Drosophila melanogaster: one gene and its partner. The protein of the gene in region 2 purifies or fractionates together with the protein of the main gene of each other region. This does not show direct contact. Each region holds a gene or a part of one and is shown on either strand. Other genes may lie near its edges. The genes, in order: U2af38 and LS2.

Region 1 (4,360 bases), on a different chromosome or scaffold from region 2:
GTCAGCTGTGTGGTGCTGTTGTTTTTCTTTCAAATTTAAAGTCATGTCGTAACCCGAACCGACTTCAAAACAACACAACCCGACAGCCAAATTCCTAGTGCAGGCATTTTAGGCGGAAATCTCCAGCGGCAGACCGGTGCCCAGTCATGTCGACCGCTTCGCGAGTGACTTTGGGACTGGCGGTCTCCATTTCCACAGCGATCATAGGTTATGTGCACTATAAACAATCGGCAGACCGGTAAGTAAGCCAAATACTCCGGAATAAAGTTATAGCCTCCGATCTCTAACTTCCAGCCTGAGACTGCACGATGGTGTCCTGAGGGACGTTGAGCAGCAACAACGGCGCAAACACGAGAATACCTACACGCTGCAGCAGCAAATAGACATGACCAAGCAACTGAAAGCCAGGGAGGCGTCTAGCAACTCCTCTGACACGCCCGTACCTCCATCGACGCATCGCGCACAGAGTAATCTTCAAGCGGAGAAGCCAGCAGTGCAAAATGAAGGCGAGGCTTTCAGAGGTGTTCCTCAGGGTGGAACGACTAATCACGATGGAAGCCCGCCAACTGACATAGCTTGATCACAAATATGCCCCTAAATATGCACCTATTAAAATCTAAGACTAAGTCGGGGAAAACAAGAATTTCGTTGTTCAAATGTACGCATTTTTGAAGATTTTAAGATTTCGTCTTAAGACAGTTGACAGCATCATTTACGCTGTTGATCGTTTTCAGTTGGTGAAGCCATCTGCGCATGGAAATATAATTAAAACAACGTGGTAAGATTCAATCTTACAAAGCGAAATAAGACTGCAGGCCTAACAAGGGGTGGTGTCTTCTGGATGTTATCCATACCTGTGAGGAGTCTTTTATTTTGAGTGCCTGGACTTTTTGACAATTAGACCCATTTCTTACTATGGCTTCCAGTATAATATTACTCAATTTTATTATTATGAATGTATGTATAGTAAATTACAATTCTAATGGGCGCTCGGTAAAATATTTCGCGGGGGGTTTGTACATAGGTGGTGGAACTCCCCATCGTCATTTTCCTCCTCCTCCTTCCATCTCGTTTACTCAAAAGTGATATAAAAACGTGGAAAACCAACGCAGAGACTAAAATACACGATGCTTTGCGTTACTGCTTGTCCGTTGCTTTCTCTCTCAATTGCCACCGTACAGAAAAAATGTCCAGAATATTTAATACCGTCCACCACCACCACCGCCTCCTCCGCCACCACCTTTGCGGCGATCGCGATCGTTTCCGCGATCATTGCCACGCATGTTGTCCCGCTCGTTGTTCAAGTAGTTTCCTCCGCCGACACCGTCGCCTCTGCCGCCTCCTCTTCGACCCGGGGATCGGGACCTGCTGCGGGAGCCGCGACGGCGTCCAGGGGATCGGGAACGGGAGCGGGCACGACGGCGGCGGGAGTAGAGGTACCTTCGCAGCTCACGCGAGATGGGCTTCAAGTGCATGAAGTTGCAGAAGCCGGAGCGGGTACATTCGCCCATCTCGTACTGCCGACAGCAAGCCTCGCGGAAGTCGGTCACCGGCGATAGTTCCGAGTACACCGGTCGACCACCGAACCACCGGTTGTTCAAATCGTTTGCCGCCTTTTCCGCATCAGCCTCGTTACGGAATTTGATGTACACATTGCCGACCAGATGGTCGCCTAGGTTGTCGCACACGTTCATCTCCTCGATTTCCCCGTACTTGTCCTCGCACTCTACGAACACGTCCTCGAAAAAATTGTCGTAGTGTTCTTGCATCTCCTCGTCGGAGACGTTGGCCACCAGATGGGAGCCATCCGCGGATTTGGCGGAGTTTTGGGGGTTCACGTATAGATTTTGGAGAAGCACCGTCTGCGAGAAAGTGGGTTTGTTGTGGATGCGAGAGCACCGGTCGCCGTGGCGGCAGGCGCCGATCTTGAAGTAGAACGAACAGTTCACCCTGGGAAATGCAACGCCATTTAGTTATTAATCCCGGCAACGTTAAAATAAATGTGCCATGCGACTTACTTGTCCTTTTCCGTGCCAAAAATGGATGCCAAGTACTCGGCCATGCTGGCGGCTTTACTGTGGTGTTGCTGTGGCCAAAATGTGTAACTTATCTACCCGCTTGTCTCTGCAACGCGGTCAAACTGCAATTATGTTAGCCGCCTGTTTATTTAGTGATAATTTTCAATTATTTTCGGAAACCGAAAAAAGCAGCGTCTGGTCGTATTTTGCACGGCGTTGCCAGCCTCGAATCTAGAGTTGCAAATAAAATCGATGATTAGTTATCGATATTTAGTGTTTTTGGCAGCATCGTTTTTCGATACCTCTGTTCTTAATTTAAATGTTTTAAAATATGCTAACATTTTAAATATTAATTTCAAATATTTAAATATTAATGCACTTAAAAGCCTGAGGACTTATTTTTCATTTGACTAGAAAAATTTTACAATTCAAAATAAGAAATTGAGAAAATTATTTACGCAAATAATAATATAATATAAACATAAATAAACAATACAATAAAATAACATTTAAATTCTATAAAGCTCAAGGTATTATTTATATTTGATCAACAATTTTTTTAATTTATATAAGCAATGGAAAAAATTATTTAAGAAGGCTTGCTGGTTTTGTTCCCCGCTTGAGAACGAGCTAAGTTCTAAACCGCAGTCTGGAAAAAGATTAAATTCAGTCGCAGAAGCATTGACAACCCTATCGATTGCTTCTAGAAAAGTCGGCATTTTTCGCATTTTCACCTGGCACGGCACATTTCGCAGCGTGTTTTATTAAAAAGTCGTACAAAAATACAGGAAAAACTGTAATTCGACAGCGCTATCCTCTCCCTTATCAGAAATGGACAAGGTAAGTGCCCGAGACAAAGGAAAGGCGTTGGCATTTCCAATCAAAAACCCTTGCGGTTTTCGCAGGTGAACGAACTCAAGGAAAAGGGTAACCAGGCGCTCAGTGCCGAGAAGTTCGACGAGGCGGTGGCGGCGTACACAGAGGCCATCGCTCTGGACGACCAGAACCATGTGCTCTACAGCAACCGTTCGGCGGCATTCGCCAAGGCTGGAAAGTTCCAGGAGGCGCTAGAAGATGCGGAGAAGACCATTCAGCTTAATCCCACCTGGCCTAAGGGTTACTCACGCAAAGGAGCTGCCGCTGCGGGTCTGAATGACTTTATGAAGGCCTTCGAAGCGTACAACGAGGGTAAGTTCAAACACAGCTCAGTTATATGCCATGAATCACCCGACCTAACCTCACTAACCTCGGTTACCGGCGCAGGTCTCAAGTACGATCCCACGAATGCTATACTCCTGCAAGGCCGCATGGAAACTACTGCCTCGGCTCTGAGCTTTATGCAATCGCAGGGGGATATACCCATGGACGTTGATCCCCAGCAGGCACGCAGCCGCAGGGCTCCATCGCCACCGCCGGCGAAACCGGCTGAGCCCCCAAAGCCCGCTGAACCTCGGGTAGAGGACATGACTGAGGAGCAGAAGAATAAGTACTTCGCGAGGAAGGAGAAGGAACTGGGCAACGCCGCCTACAAGAAAAAGGACTTTGAAACGGCCCTAAAACACTACCACGCTGCCATTGAACACGATCCCACGGATATCACGTTCTATAACAACATAGCTGCTGTTCACTTTGAGCGCAAGGAGTACGAGGAGTGCATCAAGCAGTGCGAGAAGGGCATTGAGGTGGGGCGCGAAAGCCGCGCCGACTTTAAGCTGATAGCTAAGTCCTTTGCTCGCATCGGTAACACCTATCGTAAGCTAGAGAACTACAAGCAGGCGAAGGTTTACTATGAGAAGGCCATGTCCGAGCATCGCACCCCTGAGATCAAGACCTCGCTGAGCGAGGTGGAAGCCAAAATCAAGGAGGAGGAGCGAATGGCCTACATCAATCCGGAGAAGGCCGAGGAAGAGAAGGAGCAGGGCAACCTTTTCTTTAAGAAGGGGGACTACAGCACCGCTGTAAAGCACTACACCGAGGCCATCAAGCGCAATCCGGATGATCCCAAACTCTATAGTAACCGCGCCGCCTGCTACACCAAGCTGGCCGCCTTTGATCTGGGCCTCAAGGACTGCGACACTTGCATCAAGCTAGACGAAAAGTTCATAAAGGGCTACATCCGCAAGGGCAAAATTCTACAGGGCATGCAGCAACAATCTAAGGCGCAAGCCGCTTACCAAAAGGCCCTGGAACTGGACCCCAACAACGCGGAGGCCATTGAAGGCTACCGTCAGTGTTCGATGAACTTCCAGCGCAATCCGCAGGAGGTCCTCAAAAACGCAATGTCCGACCCGGAGATTCAACAGATCTTAAAGGATCCGGCTATGCGTATGATCCTCGAGCAG
Region 2 (3,827 bases):
GGGCTACAACTTTGCCACCTGTAAAACTTCTTTCTTTCCGTGTGCTGACCATTTCATTACGCGTACGAGTATTGATGATCGGCTGTCGACCAAATGACCAAACTTTGAGATAAGAAAAGACCCCAACCCCAGGCTGAACGGATGATGCCCCAAGACCCACGAAACGTGATACCTGAGAAAATGCAACCGTTCGTCGGCGAGATAAGCCGCCGAAGAAGCTTCTCCATTGAAAAGGCATTAAGGCATTACCTGGGCTTCGTAATAAGCGGTCGGTAGGTGTGAATATGCCGAGAAATGTCGACGATAAAGCGTAAAGTTTAAAATTTTAATTAAGCAAGAGCTTTGGCCTGACTCTTCCAGAGGAACTGGAAATAAAAGGTGAGCGGAGAAGCTGCTGCAGGAGCTGTCGGCTTTCGAGCAGCTTTAAGGATTGCAGCTTAAGTCGGTCTGCCTAATTGAATTTCTGCCATCGTATTTGGGGGGCGAGGAGGCGTGTCCTCACATTTCGATCCCAGATAACTTAAAGCGTTAAGCAGTTGATATCACAACAACGAGAGTGGAGAACTGGATATTAACTTCCTTATCGCTCGTGGCCTTGGCCACATCAGCTCACCGAGTCATCATCAGGTGTCATGATGGACTGACTATTAAGTGTAGATGTTCCTAGATGGTTGAGCATATTGAAATTTCAGTTAATATGGTTTATTATTTCGACTTTATTGTAGATCATCCGCCAGGTACTTTTCGGGATCGTAATACGAGGTCATCACTATGCGCCCGCTGAACTTGCGACCACTCAACGCCTTAAGGGCCTTCTGCGAATCCTCCACGGATTCGAACTGGACGAAGACCTTGCCACAGCCCCGCTTCGGAAATTGACCGATGGGACGCGGAATCTTGATGCTGCGAACCTCGCCGAACTTGGCGCACTCCTGCTTGATGTCCGTGCGAATGTCCTCGAACTCCTCGTCGTCCAGCAGCTCCTCCGGCCGCACCATGTTCAGCAGGCAGAGAGTTTCGGTAGGTGAGCCAGGATCTTGTAGTGTGGATATGCCCGGTACCTGAAGAACGGTTGGTAAGTGGCCGGGGAATGCGTTCTTTCCGCCTGGAATAGATCTCTGGACCACCAGCCTGCGATCCCCCAGCAGCATGCCGTGCAATCCAGCTATGGCGTGATCGGTAACCGAGGGATCGCAGTACTCAAAGAAGGCGAAACCCTTGTTCAGGTTCGTGTTGGTATCCATCACCAGATTCAGTCCTTTCAGTTCTCCAAACGACTGCAGCAGTTCCTTGACCTGATCCTGATTCAGGCAGGTGGGCAAGCCACCTACGTAGATCTTATTGGGGGAATCGGGGACAATAGTGGTCACAGGAAGGGTAACAGCCGGTTGTTGGGCTACATTGATGGCAGGGACCCTGAATGACCTGTAGCTCTCCATTGCAGAGACTGAAATCGAGGGCACTGGCTGATAGTCGTGTGGCCGTCTTATCTTCAAGGTTTGTCCACGGAAGACCATCCCATCGAAATTCAAGGCCTGGCTGGCCTCGTCAATGGATCGGAATTCCAGAAAGGCAAAGTTCTTCTCCAGATTCGTTTGGCAGGTCAGCACAGCATTGCCATCCATGTAGTGCGAGCTTTTTGCTTCAAATCCCAGAGCCATGATCTGATGATTGAAGAACTGCATCATCTCCTCATCCGTAACTCCGAATGGAATATTACCCACATACAGGCGGCGAGCTTGTCGAGTGATCATCGAAATCGCGGCGGACTCGCCCCCGTGTACGCCATCGGAAAGAATCCTCGAGGCAATCTGGCCGCTGGCCAGCATGGCCTTGTACTGTTGCGGAGTCAGGTGGTTATAACCCTCTGGTGGAATGTCCCAGGAGGAGGGAGGCCGACTGAAACGTCGCTGCAATCGCGTCCTCTCTGTGTAAATGGTATCCGAACGGGTGGGCCGGGATCGAGTAATGGATTGCGAACGGAAAGGCGAACGCGAACGTGAACGTGAACGTGAACGCGAACGCAGAGCATTCCAAGAACGATTCATGGGCCGAAAACGTCTCATACTTTTCAGCTAAAATCACCGAACACCAGGCCTTGTTGGTGAACTAAAATGAAATCACAATAAAAGCTACTCTGATTAAAAAGTTCAGTGTGACAACTGAAGGAATCATCGATAACGAGCAATGTGACCGCACTTAATCGACATAATGTAACGTAAATTTAATTTCTTGTCTAAGTCTAGCAAATTAAAAAATTCTCTGCAATCCGGCAAATTTGTTCATTCAGCATTCACATCTATCATTTAATGTATTCGATGCCAATGGCGGGGAGCTTGAATCAAAAAAAAAAAAAAAAACAATTAAGTCGTTTATCATACATCATCCGGATAGTTTTCAGCTTTCATTGTGCCTCGTTATATCTTTCGACAGAAAAACGTATCTACATACGTATCTGCGGGTGCATTTCCAGCGAATAATCATAATCATCATAATTTTCGTTAATATCGCCAATCAATTATAATTAATTGGCAACGGCTCGCCCGCAGGCCGTATAAATAGAGAAGAAGCAATTTGTTCAGGCCATGCTTTTTGGGTTCGTTTTCGGAGCTGCGTGTGTCTCCATCGCGATGTGTGGTCCTCCGAGCCCAGCTTCCCGCAGGGGATGAGTCGGGGATACCATCCTCGCCACATTCCTCGGAAACGCGACAACGACTTCATTTGGAACTGAGGGGCGGCTCAATTAATTCAGAAAGGCGACACAATAAAACTGTCAACTCAAATCGGACAAAAGAGGGATTTCAAACTTTAGGGGAATACTATTCTATTCACCGTAAATATCCTGCTTGCATAACGATGCACAGAACGGAGTGTTTGAACAAGGTAAGAAATCAATTTGAATAAAATGCTTGACTTTTCCCTCAGTGCATTCCCTTCTACACGTCACCATTCCACACATAACCCCCTATAAAGAACTTTATCGAACCCAGAAACCAAGTGATAATTTATGTCCCGATCCTCGATCATCGACTACACCGCACCTCCTTTGTGGAGGCTCTCAGGTATCATTCCCCATCAGCTAGGATAATGGTCTACTGTTTAATGGCTATTTGATGGCCCGGCGATCGCGCACAGATAAAGATACAGAGATAGAGATACAGATACAATCCCAGTCATGATTCAAGGCCAATTTGACACTTGTGAGGAATTTGAGATGGCGGCGCGGGTGCATACTAAAATGCAATCTCTGTCCGGCATTAAGCCTAAATTAAATATATTTCATCCAGTGTCCAAAAACCAATTAATTCTTTGTCCAGCCGCTTGGGTTTGTTGCTGCTGCCGAGGTTCCAATGGAACCAGAACCTGTCCACAAGCCTGACAAACGCAATTAATTTGTCCATTTAAATTCAGGCAACGTCTCCCCGCCCGCCGATTTTCTGACATATCCCCACATTGATGTCCATCGATGATATGGCGACATGGAGCCCGGATGAGGATGACGAACGCCCCGACTTCACATTCCCTCTCTCTCTCCGTTTTTTCGATCACCCATTTAGATTTGGGCCTTTTATTTGAACAATAACGACGAAGGCCATAAATTAATTTTTTCCTTGGCACACAAACAACTGAATAAAAATTCATAACATATTGTGCCACGTCTGAGTTTTGGCCAAATGGAAATCAGTCAAGAGGCCAAAACCAAACCCACACCAATTTTAAAGTCGTTCTGGGCAAAAGAGAATTTTTGGTTGCGTTGCGTGGGAATATCAGTTCAATAAAAGTGTTACTATTATATGTGTATATCATTATTTATAACTAATAATAAT

What was found.
Region 1: the proteins of LS2 (region 2) and U2af38 purify together in Drosophila melanogaster (affinity purification with western blotting, with the first as the bait; one study listed by BioGRID). This does not show direct contact.

The regions. Positions count from the first base shown.
Region 1 is NT_033779.5:292,423-296,782, forward strand, and holds U2af38 (U2 small nuclear riboprotein auxiliary factor 38), read right to left. Parts: upstream 2,260-4,360; 5' UTR 2,063-2,259; coding exon 2,019-2,062; intron 1,951-2,018; coding exon 1,200-1,950; 3' UTR 581-1,199; downstream 1-580. Other genes in the region: CG11562 (uncharacterized protein), read left to right, coding at 147-238, 295-580; Stip1 (stress induced phosphoprotein 1), read left to right, coding at 2,850-2,858, 2,924-3,206, 3,282-4,360. UniProt on the Drosophila melanogaster protein: Necessary for the splicing of pre-mRNA. Binds to the polypyrimidine tract of introns early during spliceosome assembly.
Region 2 is NT_033778.4:23,209,433-23,213,259, forward strand, and holds LS2 (large subunit 2), read right to left. Parts: upstream 2,108-3,827; 5' UTR 2,067-2,107; coding exon 717-2,066; 3' UTR 698-716; downstream 1-697.